2 linked regions of the Mus musculus genome follow. The protein of the gene in region 2 binds, or shares a complex with, the protein of the main gene of each other region. Links are inferred from orthologs where the notes say so. Each region holds a gene or a part of one and is shown on either strand. Other genes may lie near its edges.

Region 1 (16,523 bases), on a different chromosome or scaffold from region 2:
TCAGTCACCACCGCTTCCTTGCAAAAACCCTTGGCTTATCCAAGGGCCAGTGGAAATTTATTTTTTCATCCTTTTCCATCTTCCCCCAAGTGGCTTTTCCTTGCAAGATGCCTGATGTGACATCAGAGGGGAACCTGGGAGAAGAGGCTCCCTCCCAGAGGGGCAGCCCAGGGACTTAAATACACACTGGAGGGGGAGGACAGGTTGTAGGGTGAGACTGGCAAGAGACAGCACAAAGGACATGGCTTCTTAGGTAAAGACCAAAGGTTTTCTACAGGAAGCTGTGCCAGAGGGTGGGGGCCAGGATTCTGAGTTGGGAGGGGGAAGAGCCCCACAACCCCAAGCTGCACCCACATTCCCCAGAGAAGCAGGTCTGGCCCTGTCAGGCTCTGAGGAATGGAGGAAGAACAAGCCAGATGTGCTGCCTCGGAAAAGGGAGGTGGTGCTGGCAGAGTGAGGGTTAAGGCTGGTGCCCGGCCTTTGGCAAGGTGGGCCTTCCGCCTCCGCTTTCCTCAGGGACAAAGGGGCTCGGTGGGCAGGCAGCACATGGGCCTGGCTCAGGCAGGGCAGGGGGAGGCAGGAGCAGGCTCCCTCCCGGCTTGAGACACAGGCCCCGCAGCCATCCGCCCACCTACCCTAGATGTGCTCAAGACCTAACCGCAGCTGGACGGCTCAAGCTGTGTGGGAGCGATGGAGTGAGGCAGAGATGAGGAAAAGGTGGCTATGGGGCTCTCGCAGCCCTGGCACCTGTCCTGAGGTCCGATGCAGGACCCTGGATCTGAGGCCCTGGATCCCCTGGCTACTGCCTGCACCCAGGGGCAGCAGAGGCAGGGAGGCCCTTGCTATTGGGAAGAAAGGAAAGAGAAACCCAGTGCAGCATACATGGGGGTGAGTGACAGACAGCGGAGCCCTCATTCCAAAGAAAGGTGCGTGGTGGGCATCTTTTCAAGGTACCCAGAGGCAGCAGCGGAGCTGTCCCTGTGACCACCCCAGCCACAGGCTCTGCATGTCCTCCACGGGGGCCCTGACAGGACTGGGACTCAGAGCAGAAGGCAGATGGGCCAGAGGAAGATGGGGAGCCCAGGACACCCCAAAGCTACAGACTCAAATGCCCTAGGAGAGGGAGGCACTTCCTGCCCGCTCCAGGGGCATCATCTGGACAAGGTGCCCTCCCCCAAGTGCCCCTCCTAGCAGCAGCCACCGCTAGCAGGCTTCACAGGGGTGCTGTCGATCTTCAGGTTGGGCCGTTCACCCCCAGACGCTGCTCCTGGCCCCATCCGCTTTTTGATCTCTGCAGCCATTGTCATGAATGCCTGCTCAACATTGGTGGCATTCTTGGCACTTGTCTCGAGGAAGGGGACACCCAGAGAGTCTGCAAATTCCTGCGAAGGGAAGAAGAGAGAGAGGGGAGCAGGGAGAGAAGGGGTGAAGGCATGTGGGCCCCAGACCCCTGACAGCCAGGGCAGGCCTGCTCACCTTGGCCGTGGTGTTGTCCACGACCTTCTTGGTGGTGAGGTCACTCTTGTTGCCTACCAGGAGTTTATTGACATTCTCACTGGCGTAGCGATCTATCTCCTGCAGCCACTGTTTCACGTTGGCGTAGGACTCCTAGGCACAGTGTCCAAAGTTACTGCACACCCACACCCAGGTCAACCCAGGTCTAGAGAACAGGACTCCTTTGAAAGGCAGGCCCCGAGCACGGGGATTCTGACAAAGTCTCTCCCCCACCCCAAGCCCAGGTTTAGCTTTCCCCTGGTTCTCTCCCATGCGGAAACCTGAAAACCAGAAGCAGAGTGGAGTAGTGCCTGCCAGTGGCCATCACCTCAACAGCCGCCTGCACCTACAGTCATTGCTGCTTCCTGCAGTTCTTTCTCCCTAACCCTCTCCTGGGAAGCCAAGGACATCAGAAGAAAGGCAGGTGACACCAGGCATGACTGATGCAGGAAGATCACAGGTTTGAGACCAGCCTAGGGTCTCAATGAGACCCTCTCAATGAGACCTTCTCAAAATAAAAGGAAAAGGGGGGCTTGGAGAGATGGCCCAGTGGTTAAGAGCACTGGTTCAACTCCCAGTACCCACAAGGCAGCTTACAACTGTCTGTAGCTCCAATTCCAGGGGATCTGACACCCTCACAGACACACATGAAGGCAAAACCACCAATGCATATAAAATACAAATAAGTCATTAAAAATAATGAAAAGGAGGCAAGCATGGTGGTGCACGCCTTTACTCCCAGCACTCAGGAGGCAGAGGCTGGTGAAGCTCTCAGTTGCCAGCCTGGTCAGTTCTAAGACAGCCAGAGCTACACAGAAAATGCCTTTTCAACACTTCCCCAAGCCCCCGCCCCTCCCCAAATGTGGCAGGCATTTCACGACTGAGCTACATAATCTCCTGCCTTTAAATTTTGAAGCTTTGGAGCCCATGGGAGGTAAAGGTTCCTCCCATGGCGACCATGGCTGATGAAGGAGATAGGTTCACCTGCTTCTGATACTAACAACTCTAGCAGCTTGACATGGAACTTGTACAAAGGATGGAATTTCTATAAATGGGCTACGCGTGCACCGTGTGTGTGGCTCATGCTCTTGGATGCCAGAAGAGGGGTCCGTTCCTCTGGAACTGGAGTGATAGAGATCTGTGAGCTGCCACGTTAGTGCTGGGAACAGGAGCCTAGGTCCTCTGTAAGAGCAGTGAGCACAATTACTGCTGAGCCATCGCCCCAGCTCCTCTTTTCCTTCAAGTACACTGTGTTCTAATGTACACACCGGCATGTCCTAAGCTGGGCTCTATGCTGAAAGGAGGGGACATCAAACATACACCTGCTTTAGGGTACTGGGGACCGTAGAGAAACAGACCAGTACACACACATGACAAGATGGGATAAAAAGCCAGCGTCAAGCAGCCCCAGGACGATTACTGCCTAGGAAGCAACAGCCAACCCTAGCAGGCAAGCATGGACTCAACTAAAAGCTACCCGCTGAGGGCACAGCATCTGCTAGAATGAGAGGGTGTGGTGTCTTTGGGAAGTGGGAGAAGAGCAGACTGCAGGTTGGGAGGAATTGGTCAGGACAGAGCTCTGCCTAGATGAACTTAGCACAATCATGAGCTAGTGGGGGTTTTCTTAGACGAAGACTGTAAGGTCACACCTGTGTTCTAGAAAGTGCCTGGGCAGGACCAGAGCAGACCAATAAGATGCAGAGCAACTAAGAAGCGGATGGGCTAATCTAGAGTCCTAAACCAGGGAACAAAGCAGGAAAGAGCACAGACTTAATCTGGACTGTCACCTAAGCTTGGTCATTTATTACATGACCTCAGTTATCTAGTCACCTGACCTGGTCAGTTTCCTCTTTTGTACAGACAACACCTCCCAGCAGAACTGTTGTCTGCAGGAGAATGGAAGCAGGCCTGTCTCATAACAAGCGCTCAATTAGCAAGAGCTGCTATTATCCTCATCACTGCTATTATTATGAGGGACAGATGAAGTGAGGAGGGAAGGACGGAGGTGCCTGGAGACTAACTATGGAGACGGCAAGTTTTCTGTTCAGGAAAACAAGGATTATGTTACAAAATGATGATGCAGGAAGTGGGTTGGGAAGATGGTGAGTGGAGCGATGGAGTCTGAATCCTGCAGCTGGTGTGGAGCCCACAGAGGCAGCTGAAGGCAGGGAAGGGGCTCTATCTTTTCTGGGATACCAGAGGCAAGTTACTGATTCCTCTGGAAAACAATTTCTTCAAATAGAAGCATGCTGTACTAGTCAGTGCTTTTCAACTTGACACAAACCTAAACATTTGGAAAGAGGACAACTAAACTGAGGGATGGCCTCCATCAGACTGCCCTGTAAACTTATGGGGCATTTTCTTGATCGATGGTTGATGGGGGAGGGAGGGGTGTGCAGCTCACTGTGGGCAGTGTCACCCTTGGACAGGTGGCCTTCGGTAGTCTAAGAAAGGATGCTGAGCAACCTATGGGGAACAAGGCAGGAGGCGCCTTTCTCTGTGGCTCCTGTTTGGATTCATGCCTTGGCTTCTTTGATGACGGACTGAGCACGAGGGCGTTGACATTTCATTCACTGGCTAAGAAGAGCATCGGGATTGCTCCCATTACAGACACTGAGGGCCAGCACAGCGCAGCGGAGAGCTGGGAACCAGGGGACATAAGAATCCCAGAACACAAGACAAAACCCAAACCACAGAAGAGGCTAGAGTCAGTCAGGATGCTCAAAATATAGGTTAGTGGGCAGTAAAGGTGTGTCAATAAAAAAAGAACTAAAGGGGTTGGTGTACAGCTCCCTGGCTGAGTATATGCTAGTTGGGGTGGGGGTGTGGGGGAGACGACAGGGGAGCTACAAAAATGTTCAAGGAAAGAGAAGAAAACCAGTGCAAGAAATCAATTCGGGCAAGAAGGTGACTGGGCTTTTTGGTAGTAACTAAAGTCTTGGTGACCTTTGCGTGACACTTGGGTCACCCAGCTTAGAAGAGCTGGGAAGTGAAGACATGGGTATCACAGCCTCTGGGCTCCCCCAGCCCAGGACTGATCACACTTCCATATCCCTGGCGAGATGCAAGCAACAAGGCTTAATAGGAAAAGCAAAGCAGATGGGTCAGGGGACCAGGCTTTTTATAACTAGATGGAAGGCCCTAGCAAGTTACTGCACCAGCCTGTACCACGTCTCCGTCTTTAAGATGGGAACATGAGGGACTTCTCATGAGCATCAAAAGACAGTTATATAGCCAGGCAGTGGTGGCGCACACCTGTACTTGGGAGGCAGAGGCAGGCGGGTTTCTGAGTTTGAGGCCAGCCTGGTCTATACGGATTGAGTTCTGGGACAGCCAAGGCTACATAGAGAAACCCTGTCTCAAAGTAACCAAAAGAACAACAACAACAACAAACAACCAATTAGAAGCTAGGCACAGTGGTGGCTGCCCAGGACCTCAGGACCACTTAAGCTGAGGAATTTGGGACAGGCTGGTAACAGAGCGAAACTCACATTTAATGGGGTAAACAACCAAGGAAATCTAAAGGCTACAGTGTCTATAAGCTGTAAGACACACTCAGGACAATTGTTGGCTGCTGCCAGTGTGACACATGACTGAAGCCACCACAGCAGATACAGGATTTCAGAATCTCTGCTTACACCGGACTCCTTCACGTGTTGTCTAAAGCCTTCCAATTGCTCCTCGAATCTGGAGACAGGAAGCATGGAACCAAGAGCAACCAACCAGCTGATTAACTGTCACCAAACATGGTAGTCTAGAAAGTCTAGAATAAAGTGGCAGGAGCCATGAAGCCTGGTTCTATCAAGACTCCATGACAGGGTTTGGTAGGATCCATTTCCTTTTTATGGAGCGATTCAATATAGTGTCTCCCTTCTAGAAAGCTTAAGGAAAATGAAAACAGGAAAAGCAGCAAGAATCAAAACTCAAGGCTAAGGAGGCAAGGCTGCAAGCGGTACCTGGTCAGTGACGTCATACACCACAATGATGCCATGAGCCCCGCGATAGTAGCTGGAAGTGATGGTCCTGAACCGCTCCTGACCAGCTGTGTCCCACTACGAGTCAGGAGGAAAAGGGTAGGTCAGCCACGGGAGAACTCCCACCCCGAGGAAGCCACTTTTGCCTGAGGGCTGGAGAGGGGTCATACTCACAATCTGCAGTTTGATGGTTTTGCCGTCCAGCTCAATGGTTCGAATCTTGAAATCCACACCGATGGTGCTGATGTAGCTCTCTGTGTAAGTGTCATCCTGAAAGGTTGTGGCTGGTGAAACGGACTGAGCAGACAGGTCCCTGCCCTGCTGTGCTCCTCACTGTGCCAGGCGAGGTTCTAAGCTCCCCAACTTGCAAGGAAGGCCTGGGCCCTCGCTGTGGCGGCTCCAGCAGCCTCACTCTTGGTTCTTAGGACTTGCAACTACACTGAGTTCTGAGTTGCCCCTTCTTCCTCCCAGTGGCAGCCTGAACCCCAAGTGGATAATAGAGGGGTGCTTCTTACTCACAGCAAACCGCAGGAGCAGGCACGACTTGCCCACGCCGGAGTCACCAATCAAAAGCAGCTTAAACAGGTAGTCACTGGCGAGAGAAGATGGGAAGGTATGAAGGCAAGCAGGAAGTCCTCCCCTGTCCCTTCCTGCACTAAGCACAGCAGGACTGTAAGGCATACTTCTGCTTGGTCTACTACGGTGCTCACTAGAGCCTTCTACTGTTCTGAAAAAGGGACAAAAGTAAGTAAAAAAAATTGACCCTTATTAGCCCCCAATAAGCTAGCACAGTTTGCTAAGAGATATGTGGTATCATTTGGTAAAAACTAAGAAAATCACATTAGGCCATACAGTATGCCAGTCTAGGACCCAAAAGGGAAACCTGACCCATAAAGTCAAAATAAATATGAAGCTGGAATGGGAGGTGATGAGTGAGTGTGTGAGTGTGTGTATGTGTGTGTGTGTCTGTGTGTGGTGAGGGGAGGACGGTGCTTGCCTCTTGGCAGAGGCAGACAGAATTCTGAGTCCTAGGCCAACCTGGTCTACAGAGTGAGTTTCAGGACAGCCAGGGCTGCAGAGAAACCCTGTCTGAAAAATCCAAAACAAAAAACAAATGTGAAAGAGCCTGAGATGAAGTCACACTAACAGGAGGCAGTCAACAAGTGGCCATGGAAGCAGCCGTCAATACTAAACTGGAACTGACCCTGTGTGAAGCACTTGAAATCACCCTTTACTAAACCCTCACAACAGTGCACACAAGTGGGTGAGTGTTATTTCCAACCACTGAGGAAGCCAGAGGTCACAGAAGGGAGGTGACTTGCCCTAAGCAGTTGAAAACTGTGAGACTGGAAACCAGGCCTGTCAGATTCCAAGCTCTTTGACAGCCAGCCGGTAGCTTCCCCCTCCTAAGCCCACTTCTGAGTTCGAGCCTCCTCAAGGAAATCTGAGGCCTCGAGTTGGGGAAGAAAAAGGAAGTGGAGACAGGGAAGAAGATAACGTGGGTGCAAAACTGCATGCCGGCCATCTACTCCAAAGGGTTTGGGCTTGAGGAATAAAAATTCTACTCCAAGGGAGCAAGCAAACTCCACATTCACCTAAAGTTCTTTGGCAGTGTGACAGGAAGCCAGCTGACAGTGGCACTGAAGGCCCGAGCAAAGGTGAGAGGACAGAAAAGAACAGACCGCCGGGAGCACCATGACAGCACGACCCAAGCAGGGCAAATGGTAGCCTCGGAGGAAAGGATCTGCAGGGGATGTGAATCAAACAGGGACTTGGGGGTCCCCTCTTGTCTTGTTAGCTTCTAGGCCAGCCCTGGGACCGAGGCTCCAGAAGAAAGGCAAAGGCAGAGAGGTTCACAGCCCAACTCAAAGTACTCGACTGTGGAGATCAGAAACTCTAGCGATGGGCTCCAAACCGCCTGCCCTTGGTCAAGCTGTAGGTGGGAAAATTGAAGCTCAGGGAGACCAAATCTGCACGGTCACCTAACCAAAAAGGCCTGTGAGGGCTGGTGCTGCGGGCTCCAAGTGCTGCCCATTCAGGCTGCAGCCTCCGGGCCTCGGGCTGCAGAACTCGGGGTGTTGAGTCGGGGTCCTGGGGATCCCGGGGGGAGGGGCAGGACCCGGATGTAAGGGGGGGGTCAGCGGAAGAGGGACCCGGATGTGGGGGCGCCGCGCAGTTCTGACCAAGGCCAGACAACTTCGGCAAGCATATAGCCCCATAGACAGGATCGAGGCTGCGCCGCACGGCGCGGGCGGGGCTCACTCACTATTCGGGGTTCATGGCGGCAGCGGTGGCCCGCTCGGTCGCTCCCAGTCGGCTCTGCTCCGCCTCCCGTTCCAAGATGGTTGCCACTCCGCCCTAGAGGCCCCGCCCGCGCCGCGCAGGCGCAAATCCTTCCGACTCGGGTTGCGCCGCGCTGCCTTGCGGAACCTGTAGTTTCCATGGATATTCGACTTGCCACTGCTGCGCAGGCGCAACTCAGGGAACAGAGCGGCCGTGCACTCTCCAGAAGCCACCCGCGAACGGCCTTCTGGGGTCTGTAGTCTTCCCAATCACTGAACCGACCCAGCTACAAAAAAATCTTCGTTGGGCTACCTAATCTGCAAGTTTGGATCTTGTTTAGTACCGGGGTAGGTAGGTATACTTCGCCTCTGAGGTGGGCAGCCACTTTTACCCTCTCGGTTCGCAGATTGAAACTAAAAGGTGTAGCGTATTTAGGACCAGAAAATTTTGACTTATTCAGTGTTCTTCGTGGAATGGACACTGCAGCCTTAGTACCAGGATTATATGATCACTAGTATTACATATATGAAAAACCATCTCAGGAAGCTCAGTCCAAGAACGTATTAAGAAGTCATAACAGGCAGAATTGTCTAGAACCCCATAAGGGCATGTGTTAGGTGCAACCCCAAAATCTGTAGCATCCCCCCCAAACAGTTCAGGATAATGGCAGAGTATTAGTTCCAGCCTCGAGGGCAGGGAATGATATGCGTGTGTATCCTGTATCCCTCACTCCCGCAGCCTCTCCCGATTCCACCCGACTCAAGGGATGCTCAGGGGCTCTGGGACTCCTCAAAACAAGCCCGGTTCAGATTCAAATCGTCTTTATTTCTACAGCAACATCTGAAAATAGAGAGTGACTGCCTTACCCAACAAATGGGGTAGCCCCTCCTACTGTGTGGGAGGAAGGGGGACATCAGAAGCTGAGGCAAGGATGGCGTGGCAGGATGGCTCAATGGGCTGTGCCCAGGGTGGGGTCAGGCCATGCCTGGGAGGGGCTGGGGTGGGGGCGGGGTGGGGGAGGACAGTGCATTAAGTCCCCGGAAGCAGCACAGGGCCCTGTGGTGTGAGGGTCTGGGCATTTGCAAGATGGAGTGGAACGAATCCCTCCAAGACCAGGCGAAGAGGTCTAGGGACCCCTTTTGGGAGGCTCTGGTCCCAGAACTTGAAGCTTGGGAGATACCACCACTGGGAACGGGGTGATTTAAGGCCTGGGCGGTACCACTGGATAAGAGAGAGGCAGGTGGTGGCCCGGGAATACCGTGGACTGAGAGGAGGGCTGAGAGGATGACACACGGCCAATAACTTATTTCTCTATATACAGAAGCAACGGCCGGGAGTGGAGGGCAAAGGTGCTGAGGGGACAGCAAGTACTTAGTGTTCTTGGCTTTGGGGCTGGGTAGACAGGCCACCACTCCCACAGGCCCTGAACTCAGGGAAGAAAGGCCCCCTGCTGGAAGAATAAATAAGGAGCAGAGCTGGAGCCGGCAGGACCGTCCTCCAGGGCCATGGCTGAGATGACAAGGGAGGAAGTTACCCTGAGATTGAACAGAAAAGACAGGGGTCCTTGGGAGGGGCAGGCAGGACAAGCAGCAGGCCCATGCGCAGGGCTGGGGGAAGGGACCATGTCGGATGGAGGCTCTGGTGACTGGCTGCCCCTTCAGCTTTAGCCCACCAGGGAGCTTCTTCGAGAGAGGTCCATGGAGCTGGAGCTCAAAGTGCGGCTGTCAGAAAGACCCGTGCCTCCAGGCTGTGGGCAGAGGATGCAGCTTAGTCCTAAACTGTTGGGAGTGAAGGGGGACGTGGGGGGTGGGGGGACGACACACACGCAGCATTCCAGAAGAGGAAGGGATGATAAAAGGGCCAAACTAGGTGCCCTGTGCAAATACAGCCAGTCTAAGACTGGCCAAAGTTAAAGTTTAGCTCACAACCAGGACCTGAGAGCTTCAAGTGGGAACTGGTTGACTGGATCTCTGCCCCAAGGCAAGAGTTTTCCCTTTATCTGACCTCTCCCTCCACTTGTTTCTACCAATCTCCGCCTGAAACCAGAGCAGTGGTTGGCTAAAGACTCACCAGGGGAAGTTGGGTGGGGCCATACACAGTAAAAACAGGGCCCAGAGGCCTGGGTCTAGGCTGCCTAGTACCAGGTGCCCTCCATTCTTACCTGGACTGGCTCTTCCACACTCTTGTTAAGGAAGTTAAGAGAGCTGGCCCTCTTCATCCTGAGAAAAAGGAGGGCCAGGATTTGTTAATATTAGGTGAGATAATAAAGGGATACCAGGTTGGGTCTGGGATGGAGGGCATGATAAAGCAGATCTGGTGACAGTGTTTTCCGAGAGGGATGGGAGGGTCAGCAGCTCACCTAGAGTTAGGGGGCTCCTGTGGGCCCCCTCCCTGCAGCTTCCTCACCAGCATCTCACTGCTGCGTCTCAGAGCATCCCGGAGCTTCCCAAAGGAGCCACTGCGCCGCAGAGAGCCGCTGCCGTCCTGTGGGAAGAACAGTCTCTAGGCCCTGCTTTGTAGTCTTACAGCCCTCCTCAGCCTCCACACTCACCCCACTCCACTCAGCTGCAGGCCCTGACTCCTCCAGGTCCGACTCAGATTGAGGCCCAGCCACATCTCTGCTGCCACGGCGGTGTCCTCGTCCACCACTGCCATCTTTTAACAGTTCTACCACCTTGGTCTGGCTGGCAGGATCCAGGCCCTGAAGGGGGCAGGAAGCATCAGACCTGACTAAAGCACACATGGAGCCTCATAGGTCTCTACTTATCCTCCTCCACCATGAAAGCCCTACCTGTTTGCGGCTGCGGCTGGCACAGTCTTCCAGTGTGTGTGCGGCTTCCAGCTTGCCCTGGCGCCGGTACAGGGCGCCCAAGCTTCGCAGAGTGGTGTTGACTGTGGGACTGTGGACAGATATCACATGGGGGTCTAATATCGAGCAAACAGGCCACGCAGAATCTGCCTTTCCCCACCTGCCTAAGCCTGTGGTAAACCCACTGGTCTCTCCCATTCTGAAAGACCTGGCCTAGCCCTAGATTTCTAGGATGCTGCCACCAGGATCAGAAGCTGGGGACCCAGCAGTGAGTGGGCCAAACTGTCACGGGGCAGATAGTGTTTTGGGTCAGGGCCTTGAGAGGTGAGCTAGCATGAGAGAGGCGTCACAGGAGTGAGGATAGTCTGAGGCCTGGGTCTCCCTCACCAAGGATGCTACTTCCCTGGTACTCATTCTCCTCCTGCCCCAGGCCCATCAGCCCTCACCTGTCAACTTTACAGGCTTTGTACCAGCTGCCATACTCCCCATAGGGGGCGCTGTCCCGGCGCTTATCCTGAGGGAGAGACCAGTCAGTTGAGAGCCGGGAGTAAGCCAGGCTCCTTCCATCCCAGCCTCAGAGCCGCCCTACACCTGCCAGCTGCCCACAGCTGCCCACCTTGCTCTCCTCGCGCTCCTCTGCGTGCATCCAGATGGGCTTGTTCTCTCCTAGAAGGGAAGGACTGTCACCTGCCTGCCACACAGATCTCTCCAATCGGGCTGCACATGGGAGTAATGTCAGGGCTATGTAGGAATGACCCAAACTGGGCTTTGTTGAATAGAAGAACAAGAGGCAAACCCAGAACATCACTGGCCATCCTCTGGACCCAGATGAACCAGCCACATGGAACAGGAGTAATGGGGAAGGCCCTTATACACCTTGGACTAGAGACTGGTGATGGGCCTGAATGATGGGCCAGGGTGAGGAATGGGGATCAGGAAATGGCCAGAAGGTTGTTCCGGGGAAGAAAAGACACTCGGGCCAGCCCTCAAAGTGAATGGAAATTGTCATGTAGAGAAAGAGGAGACTGGGTGTACTGATAGACGCCTTTAATCCCAGTACTCAGAGGCAGAGGCAGGCAGATCTCTGTGAGTTTGAGGCCAGCCTGGTCTACATAGTAAGTTCCAGGACAGCCAGGGCTACATAGTCAGACCTTGTCTCAGAGAGAGACAGAGATAGAGACAGAGAGCAAAAGACTGACTGAGCAGGGGGTTTGTCAATTTGTCTGGCCAGGGCATTGAATTGGGTGGATGGGTTCCTGAAGGTGTGTCTGGGCTTCTGCCAAACTCTAGGCAAGATGGCTTGCAAGGCCAAGTACTGCCCTGGGTACTCCTGGCTGAGTAAGCATGTGTTAAATGAACTGGAGGTACATAGCAACTATGGACTCACCATTGACTGAGCCAAACTCCTTCTCGTGCGCACGGGTAAGGATCTCCTTGTACAGGGTCTCTGCATCCTGGTACTTGCCCTGTTTCAGGTAGCAGGAAGCCTGGATGGCAGAGACAGTGGGTAAGCAGCCTGCAGGGAGCTTAGTTTTCTTTCTCCTTCCTCCTGGACATCAGCCCTCTCCCTCCCTGCCTCCTTCCTTTCCAGCCTCCCGCCCAGCCACAGAGCACCAGGTTGTTCTTGGTCTTCGCCACATTGGGGTCATCAGGACCAAGGCGTGTGGCATAGATCTCCAGGGCTCTCCGGTAGTAGTATTCCACCTCCTCAGCTTTGCCCTGGTTCTGGCACAGCAAGGCCAGGTTGCTGAGCTGCTTGGCCACATCTGGGTGAAACTTGCCCAGGACCTGGTAAGAGTCAGCGGTCGGGTTCAGAGTTGCCCAGATTCTACTGTCTGCCCAGCACTCTTGGCCCTGCCTGCTCCCACCTTCTCCCGGATCTCCAGTGCTCTCTTGCACAGTGGCTCAGCCTCTTTGTACTTGCCCCGTTTGCCGTAGAGAACAGCCAGATTGTTGAGGGTCGCAGCCACCTGGATGTAGGAGAATGGAGGTGTCTTCACTCAGGGCCCTAGCAGGCAGGGGGATCTGGAACTTGTGAGGACTGGAGAGGAACACTTAGGCTAACTCTTACTCACAGCTGGGTGGTCCTTGCCCAGTGTCTTTTCCCGGATAGCCAGGGCATCATTGAGCAGGTGAGCAGCATCCTTGTACTTATTCTGGTCCCTGGGAGCAGGCAGGACATTCAGGAATGTCCTCCAGCCCGAAGCCTGCCCCCAGGGGCCCGTAGTCCCTGCAGGCACTTCTCCTGGGGTCACTGATGAGTGGACACGATAGGAGTGCAACTCAGAGCATGGGAGGCCTGGGCAGCCCTACCCTTGAGAACTCTGAGGACATTAGGCAGTTTACCACACCTCATAGCCAGACCCCTGAGTAACTCAACTTTAAGTGATCCCCAATGCATTGGCTCACGGTCACTTTCTGCCACAGAAACCCTTTCATCCATCATGAGTTCTGGGCCAACTTTCCACCCCACCTGTCTTCCCTTGCTTGTCCTTTTCCTCTCTTCCCAGGGTTTCATGTATCCCAAGGTAGCCTTGAATTAGGTATAAAACCAATTCCCTAAACGAGGAAAATACCTAAAAAAAAAAAAAATTCCCAACTGTCTCACTTCCACTTCCTAAGTGCTTATAGTGTGCACCACCACACCTGGCTTCTAACTCACTTTTTTAATTTTTTGGTTTTTCTAGACAGGGTGTCTCTGTATAGCCCTGGCTGTCCTGGACTCACTCTGTAGACCAGGCTGGCCTCAAACTCAGAAATCCGCCTGCCTCTGCTTCCCCAAGTGCTGGGATTAAAGGTGTGTGCTATCACTGCCTGGCCCAACCTTGTATTAAAACTCTGACAGGTGTATTTCCAGTTGGAGGCCAGCTTTACAGAGGCATGTTCGTCTTTCTGTGCTGCTCAACTGTCCCCGAGACACTCATATGGAAGGATGCAGGTATGCCCACACAGCCAGGGGGCCCTTACCGATAAACCAGTGCCAGGATGTTCAGCATGGTGGCCACATCAGGGTGGTCATGGCCTGATGTCTTCTCCAAATCTTCCAGTGCCTGCTTGCAGAGGGGCACGGCCACCTCATAGCGGCCTTGTGAAGCATACTGGATTACCAGGTTGTGGAGGGTCCGTAGCCGTGCTGGGATCTCATAGCCCCCATGCTGTGCAGCTACATCTCCTCCTCCAGGGCTGGGGGCTACGAGGCCAAGGGTAGGAAGTCAGATGTGCCTTCTCCTTTCTGAGCCAAGCTGGCATATGCCAACTATACCTTTTGCTCTTGTGTACCTGGGCAAGTCACCAATCTGCCTCAGCTTCTGAACTTTCAGAGTAGGTTAGTTATTGCACAAGGAGTGAGTCCTACCCCTCATCTCATCTGCATCTACATTTTCTTTTGTTTGTTTTTCAAGACAGGGTTTCTCTGTGTAGCCCTGGCTGTCCTGGAACTCACTCTGTAGACCAGGCTGGCCTCAAACTCAGAAATCCGCCTGCCTCTGCCTCCCAAGTGTTGGGATTAAAGGCGTGCACCACCACCGCCCCGCCTGCATCTACATTTTAAGAGAAACATTTTGGTCCAGCTCAGCAAGGCCCTGCATGATTTTTCTGTCTAAAGAGGTCCAGAAAGTAACTGACTTTGGCCAGGCTCAGCTCCTCCAGACCTACTAAGCTTGTCATGTGCTCTCCACAGAGCTCAGGGATGCAGCAGGGAAAACCTGAACCTGCCCTTTGATTTTTGTTTTGTTCTGTTTGTTTGTTTTTTTCTTTTTTGAGACAGAGTTTCTCAGTGTAACAGCTCTGGCTGCCCTGGATGGCATCCAACTCACCAAAGATCCGCCTGCTTCTGCCTCTCCGTTGCTGAGATTAAAAGCATGTGTTACCACTGCCTGGCCAAGACTTGCCTTTTAAACCCTAACATGCTAGGACATTGTAATTGGAAATAAGGCAAAAAAAAGCATGGATCTCACTAATACCCACCTCTTATGACCTACAGGACTTAAAGGACCCTTCCCTCAACTCAGAGCTAACTGCCCTTTTATACCTGGGCTCTGTTCATCTTCATTGGGAAACAGGTCATCCAGGGAGTCTTTGGGGACATCACCCTTCTCCTCCTGGAAAGGAAGACAGGAATGATTGTCAGCCCCAGTAGCAGAGGTATCAGCAGGCATGTGGGAACTGGATGTTGGCCAGCTGGGGCTCACATTTGGGGAAGCATCCTCATCCAGCTTTCGGATCTGACTCATGAATAGCAGGTGCTGCTTCTCTTCCTCCAGCTGAGCCACCGCCTGTTCACTGCGCTGCAGCTTCTGCTGTGTCCCTGCCAGCTCCTCACGCAACCACTGGTTCTCTTGTACCAGGCGCCGCACCTGAGCCCGCAGCTTCTGCTTCTCTGACTCCACAGCCCCCAGATGGCTTGATAATGCCAGGATCACCTGTGCAGCCAGCCAGACCAAGGTCAGAATCCTAGCCATCACTTTGCCTATAACTACTGCCTCAGTCACCTGGAGGCCAGTGAAGGGCTGGGCCCTGGCTAGGTAAATGTCAGGCCTCCTAAGTTCTCCCCTTCCCAGGACCGCAGACCTACATCTAAGACCGAAGAGTAGGTTTGGTAATTTTGCTGGCCAAGATCCTGTAGGATCTGAGCTCTCAGACTCTCCCTTTGTTCCCCTTTGGTTACAATCTACCCACTGTAGCTATCACCAATATATTACTGCTTCCTGTCTAGGGCTAGTGATTGTTCAAAGAACCCTGAAGGGTGGCTGACAGGACACAAAGAGACCTCACCCTAATCTGCTAAGGGTCCACAGCCCTGTCTGCCTGCTGAAGGGAGGCAGCATATGTCCTAAGTCCCTAAAGGGTGGAAAGGGCTGCACTGGCCTTAGTCCCAACACCCAGCTCTTTTAACATCTGACTCTCCAGGTGTCCGTTAGTCATGGGCCTTGGTATAGGCTATATGTTCCTATCCATGCTTCTCAGACCAGGATCACTGCCTCTTTTCAGTCATGCCTCCCCCATGCTCCATCTCCACTGCCTGTAACCTCTATGACACTCTGTTCCCTATCTGTGAAAGACCTGCAGCCTAGAACCCTGCAGAACTATCTCTGTAACTGACAGCGAAGAGAGGAGGTAACACATTGCCTTTCCAGAAGGTTGGAGTCTAGGACCCTGTATTTTCTACTTAGTTAGCAAATGTTTTTTATTTTATTTCTTCTTCTTCTTTTTTTGGTTTTGGGAGACAGGGTTTTTCTGTGTAGCGCTGGCTGTCCTGGAACTCACTCTGTAGACCAGGCTGGCCTTGAACTCAGAAATCTGCCTGCCAAGTGATGGGATTAAAGGCATGCGCCACCACTGCCTGGCTATTTTTTCATTTTTTTTAAAGACAAGTTTTCTTTATGTAGCCCTGTCTGTCTTGGAACTTGTTCTGTAGACTAGGCTGGCCTCGAACTCAGGTATTCACCTACTTTTGCCTCTAGAGTGCTGGAATTAAAGGTGTGGGCCACTCTACTTGGATATTTGAAAACATTTCAAGGGATAGGTGTTTTTATAACCACTAATCTTAAAAAAAAAAAAAAAAAAAAAAAAAGTCCAGATGGCACATGCTCTGTTCCAGCACTTAGGAGGCAGAGGCAGAGGCAGGTGGATCTCTGTGAGTTCAGAGCCAGCTTGATCTACATAGTAAGTTTCAGGACAGCCAGGGTTATGTAGAGACCGTCTCAAAAACAAAACAAAACAAAACAAGTCCTCAAACAACCTGGAAGTACATACAATAGATGGCATGACCACTATGTTTTTTGGGAGGGTGGGGGGACATGTTGGTTTGGGGTTTTTTTTTTGGGTTTTTTTTGTTTGTTTGTTTTTCGAGACAGGGTTTCTCTGTGGAATCTGAGCTCTCAGACTCTCCCTTTGTTCCCCTTTGGTTACAATCTACCCACTGTAGCTAACACCAATATATTACTGCTTCCTGTCTAGGGCTA
Region 2 (3,500 bases):
GGCCTTGAGCATCTGAGGATATGACATGGGAGTGGCTCTGGAGTAAAACTGCTAAATACTAACAACTACATATTAAAACATCACAGGGGATCAGGTGTTGGGGGGGGGGGCGTACAAAGGGTCAGGAATTTGAACAGAGGTGAGTAGCAGTTGGAGAGGGGGACCTGGGAGTAGCCACTTTAAGTCCCAAATGCCAGGGACTCAAGAGGTTCCCAGGACCCAACAGGGATGACATGAGCCAAAATACCCAACGAAGGGGAGAGAGAACCTGTATAGATCATATCCAGTGGATAAGCATGGCCCCCCGACTGAGGAATTCCTCCTGTCAAAAGGAAATGCAGGGACAAAGAGTAGAGCAGAAACTGAAGGAAAGGCCATGCTCAGAGACTAAGAGCATTGGCTGCTCTGCCAGAGGTTCTGAGTTAAATTCCCAGTACCACATGGTGGCTCACAACCATCTATAAGGGCATCTGATGCCCTCTTTTGGCCGTCCTTGAACTCAGAGATCCACCTGCCTCTCTCTGACTCTAGATTCTCCTGATGCCATCCCAATACTAGGGATTACAGGCATGTGCCACCATAATTAGTTTTGTGCAGTGCTAGGATTGAACCTTGTACATGTTAAGCAAATGTTCTTATCAACTGTGCTAGTTTACAGATACAAGCATGTCTTATCCTTATCCCAAGCCAAGTGCTGGGTAAGTTCATTTTCCTCACAGCCCACACAGAGGAACCTGTGTAAGACTTACATACCCACCCCCAACCCTCACCCACATATACTTTCTTCATCTTAGCATCTGTCGTGCAGTTTGGAATGTGAGAGAAAAATGCCTTCCCAGGGCAAAGCGCCTGACTCCCTGCAACACAAAGCCCACTGCTCTGAGCCAGCCAGTCTCAAATATCCATAGCAAGTGTAACATGTAGCAACCTAGCATCCACTGTGCACTACATCATCAGACTTTTAGCACATGAATCATTTAATCACATCTAGTATGTGGTACACAGCAGGGACACCGAGATTTGATAAGTCCCAGAACACTGGACACAGAGTCCACTGCCACATGAACAGGGTGGCAGGGTGGCAGGGTGGCAGGGGTGGCAGGGGTGGCAGGGGTGGCAGGGCAGGCAATGGCACTGGTGCTCTGCAGCACTTGTTCCCAGTGCTTTCCCCAGATTTCCCATCACTACATGGCTTACAAAGTCGTTAATCAACAGCTTGTACTGAATTAAAGAATTCTAGAATGCCAAGGAACCTTAGCACTTCTCTCTGGTGCCATTGGAGGCCAGAAGGGGACATTGAACCTTCTGGAACTAGAGTTACAAATGGTTGTAAGCCACCTTAAATGTGCTGGGAACTGAACCCAGGTCCTCTGAGCCATCTTCCCAACCACGTAAGAGAATTCCTCTTTTTCCCCCTAAGCAAACACCTCTAGCTAGACAAGATGTCAGTCCCTAGTTGAAGCCCCCACCTCAGGATTCTGCTCCCTTACTTGACACAGGCGGTGGCTCACTGGTGTTCACGTTGAGGAGCTTAGGCCATACTTGGCACCTGATCTCATCAGTCAGGAGCCCTCCCTCACTGATAGCCATTCGTCGGAGGGCAGCCAAGTCGATGGGATCACTGTTCAGAGCCTGGTGTATCTCTGCCACCTTCTTTTTCCTTTTGGCATTAAAGTCTGGAGAAACAAACAAACAGCGTGTGGCAGAGAATGAAGCACACTCTTATTAGCATGTGTACTTTTCTGCTTAGAGTCCCCATCTCCTAACTTGGTCTAAGGTACTTTCTCTTAAGACAGCTTTGGCCCTCATGCTTGCTTCTTACAAAACCTACACATATTTAGCACATGTGTAAACACTTTGACCACAGCCCACGTAAGTAACAAGGAATTACAGTTTTAGGAATCATCAGTAAGTACCAGCTACTGTCAATGCTTTTTTTTCTGTTCACATTTCACAAAGCATAGATATCTCAATCTAAGTGGTCTTCTTGGGCTGGTGAAGTCAGGGTACAGGACCTGCCTAGCATACCAAAGGTCTTGGGCTTAACCCTTAACACGAAAGAAAAAAACTTTAATTTTGTTTTTTGAGACAGGGTTTCTCTGAGTAGCCCTGCCTGGCTATGCTGGAACTTGCTTAGTAGACCAGGCTGGCCTTGAACTCACAGAGATCCACCCGCCTCTGCCTCCCAAGTGATGGGCCTCAAGGCATGTGCCACTACCACCAGGTCAGAAAACATTTAGTTGTTTATACTGGGAAAAAAATGTAATTCAAAACTCAATACTAGGCTTGGGGAATGTGTCCTAGCAGCATGGCACTTGTGTGTGAGGCCCCACGTTTAACTCAAGACACCCTCAACAATGCATTTAACAAAACCATAGGCAACACTCATACACATAAAATAAATCTTTTTTTCTAAAGCTCCATTCATCATTGGCAATCAGAAAGTAGTGTGTTAATCATGTTAAGATTTTTAAAAAATATTTTAAAAGATTTATCTATTTTTCTTTTCTGTGTATTTGTTTTTTGCCTGCATGTCTGTGTGAGTACCTATTGAAAGCCTGGGGTCAGTGGAGTCTGGAAAGTTTTAGATCCCCTGATCTAGTTCAGGTGGCTGTGAGCAGCCATGAAGAGTAAGGCTCTTAGCTCCTGAGCATCATTCTAGCCCCACTCTTCTGCTCTCTCTGTAGCCAACAATGAGATCATGACTTTTGGGCCTCCTGCCTCTGCTCCCTACATGCTTTGACTAGGGGTCTGGGATCCCAGGCTGATTCTATGCAGTGCAGTGGGTTGAACCCAAGGCTTCTTAGCACTCTTCCAACTGAGCTACACTCCAGTCACAAAGCAGCTCACACTCATATGTAACAGTCTTATTTACAGCCAATTTATAATACTCAAATTATTCTTTTAGAAGCCATGCACAACAGAGCATGCCTCTATTCCCAACATTTGGGAGGCAGACTCAGAACTTTCACAAATTCAAAGCCAGACTCTTTCTTCTACATAGGATATTCAAGGCCAACCTGGGGTATAAAGTCTTATTTCAAAAAACAAAACAAAAATGACTTTTTGTTTGTTTTGGTTTTGGTTTGGTTTTTTTGAGACAGGGTTTCTCTGTATAGCCCTGGCTGTCCTGGAACTCTGTAGACCAGGCTGGACTCGAACTCAGAAATCCACCTGCCTCTGCCTCCCATTAAAGGCGTGCACCACCACGCCCGGCTTCAAAAATGACTTTTTATTTGGCGGGCAGCTGGGAGTGCTTTGAGATGGTTTCTCTTGTGTAGCTCTGGCTGGCCTCAAATGAAGAAATCTGCCTGCTTACCTCACAAGTGCTGGGATTAAAGATGTGCATCACCATGCCCAACTCAACTTTTTTGTTGTTGTTGCTGGGGTTTTTTGCTTGTTTTTTTTTTTTTTCCAGCTCAACTTTTAAAAAAGATGTTTATTTTTGTTGTTGTTTTGTTTTGTTTTCTGGAGACAGGGTTTTTCTGTATAGCCCTGGC

What was found.
Region 1: the proteins of Tbc1d20 (region 2) and Rab1b are in contact, whole or in part, in a crystal structure (PDB 4HLQ), measured with the Homo sapiens proteins. The link is inferred for Mus musculus from reciprocal best matches to the Homo sapiens genes TBC1D20 and RAB1B. Residues at the interface, in NP_653229.1 of Homo sapiens: Gln97, Gln98, Leu101, Asp102, Arg104, Arg105, Leu107, Arg108, His141, Tyr142, Tyr143, Gln144, Gly145, His147, Asp148, Phe177, Met178, Asp179, Pro180, Thr181, Met182, Lys186, Val212, Ile215, Leu218, Ser219, Thr223, His227, Met272, Ala273; in NP_112243.1 of Homo sapiens: Ser17, Gly18, Ser36, Tyr37, Ile38, Ser39, Thr40, Ile41, Gly42, Val43, Asp44, Phe45, Gln60, Trp62, Ala65, Gly66, Gln67, Arg69, Phe70, Thr72, Ile73, Tyr77, Glu94.

The regions. Positions count from the first base shown.
Region 1 is NC_000085.6:5,099,191-5,115,713, forward strand, and holds Rab1b (ras-related protein Rab-1B), read right to left. Parts: upstream 7,807-16,523; 5' UTR 7,749-7,806; coding exon 7,735-7,748; intron 6,061-7,734; coding exon 5,988-6,060; intron 5,739-5,987; coding exon 5,643-5,738; intron 5,547-5,642; coding exon 5,451-5,546; intron 1,609-5,450; coding exon 1,477-1,608; intron 1,383-1,476; coding exon 1,188-1,382; 3' UTR 17-1,187; downstream 1-16. Other genes in the region: Klc2 (kinesin light chain 2), read right to left, coding at 9,415-9,498, 9,913-9,970, 10,111-10,235, 10,303-10,452, 10,543-10,651, 11,007-11,074, 11,177-11,277, 11,948-12,047 and 6 more. UniProt on the Homo sapiens protein: The small GTPases Rab are key regulators of intracellular membrane trafficking, from the formation of transport vesicles to their fusion with membranes.
Region 2 is NC_000068.7:152,300,328-152,303,827, reverse strand, and holds part of Tbc1d20 (TBC1 domain family member 20), read right to left. Parts: intron 1,677-3,500; coding exon 1,491-1,676; intron 1-1,490. UniProt on the Homo sapiens protein: GTPase-activating protein (GAP) specific for Rab1 and Rab2 small GTPase families for which it can accelerate the intrinsic GTP hydrolysis rate by more than five orders of magnitude. Also shows GAP activity for RAB18 GTPase.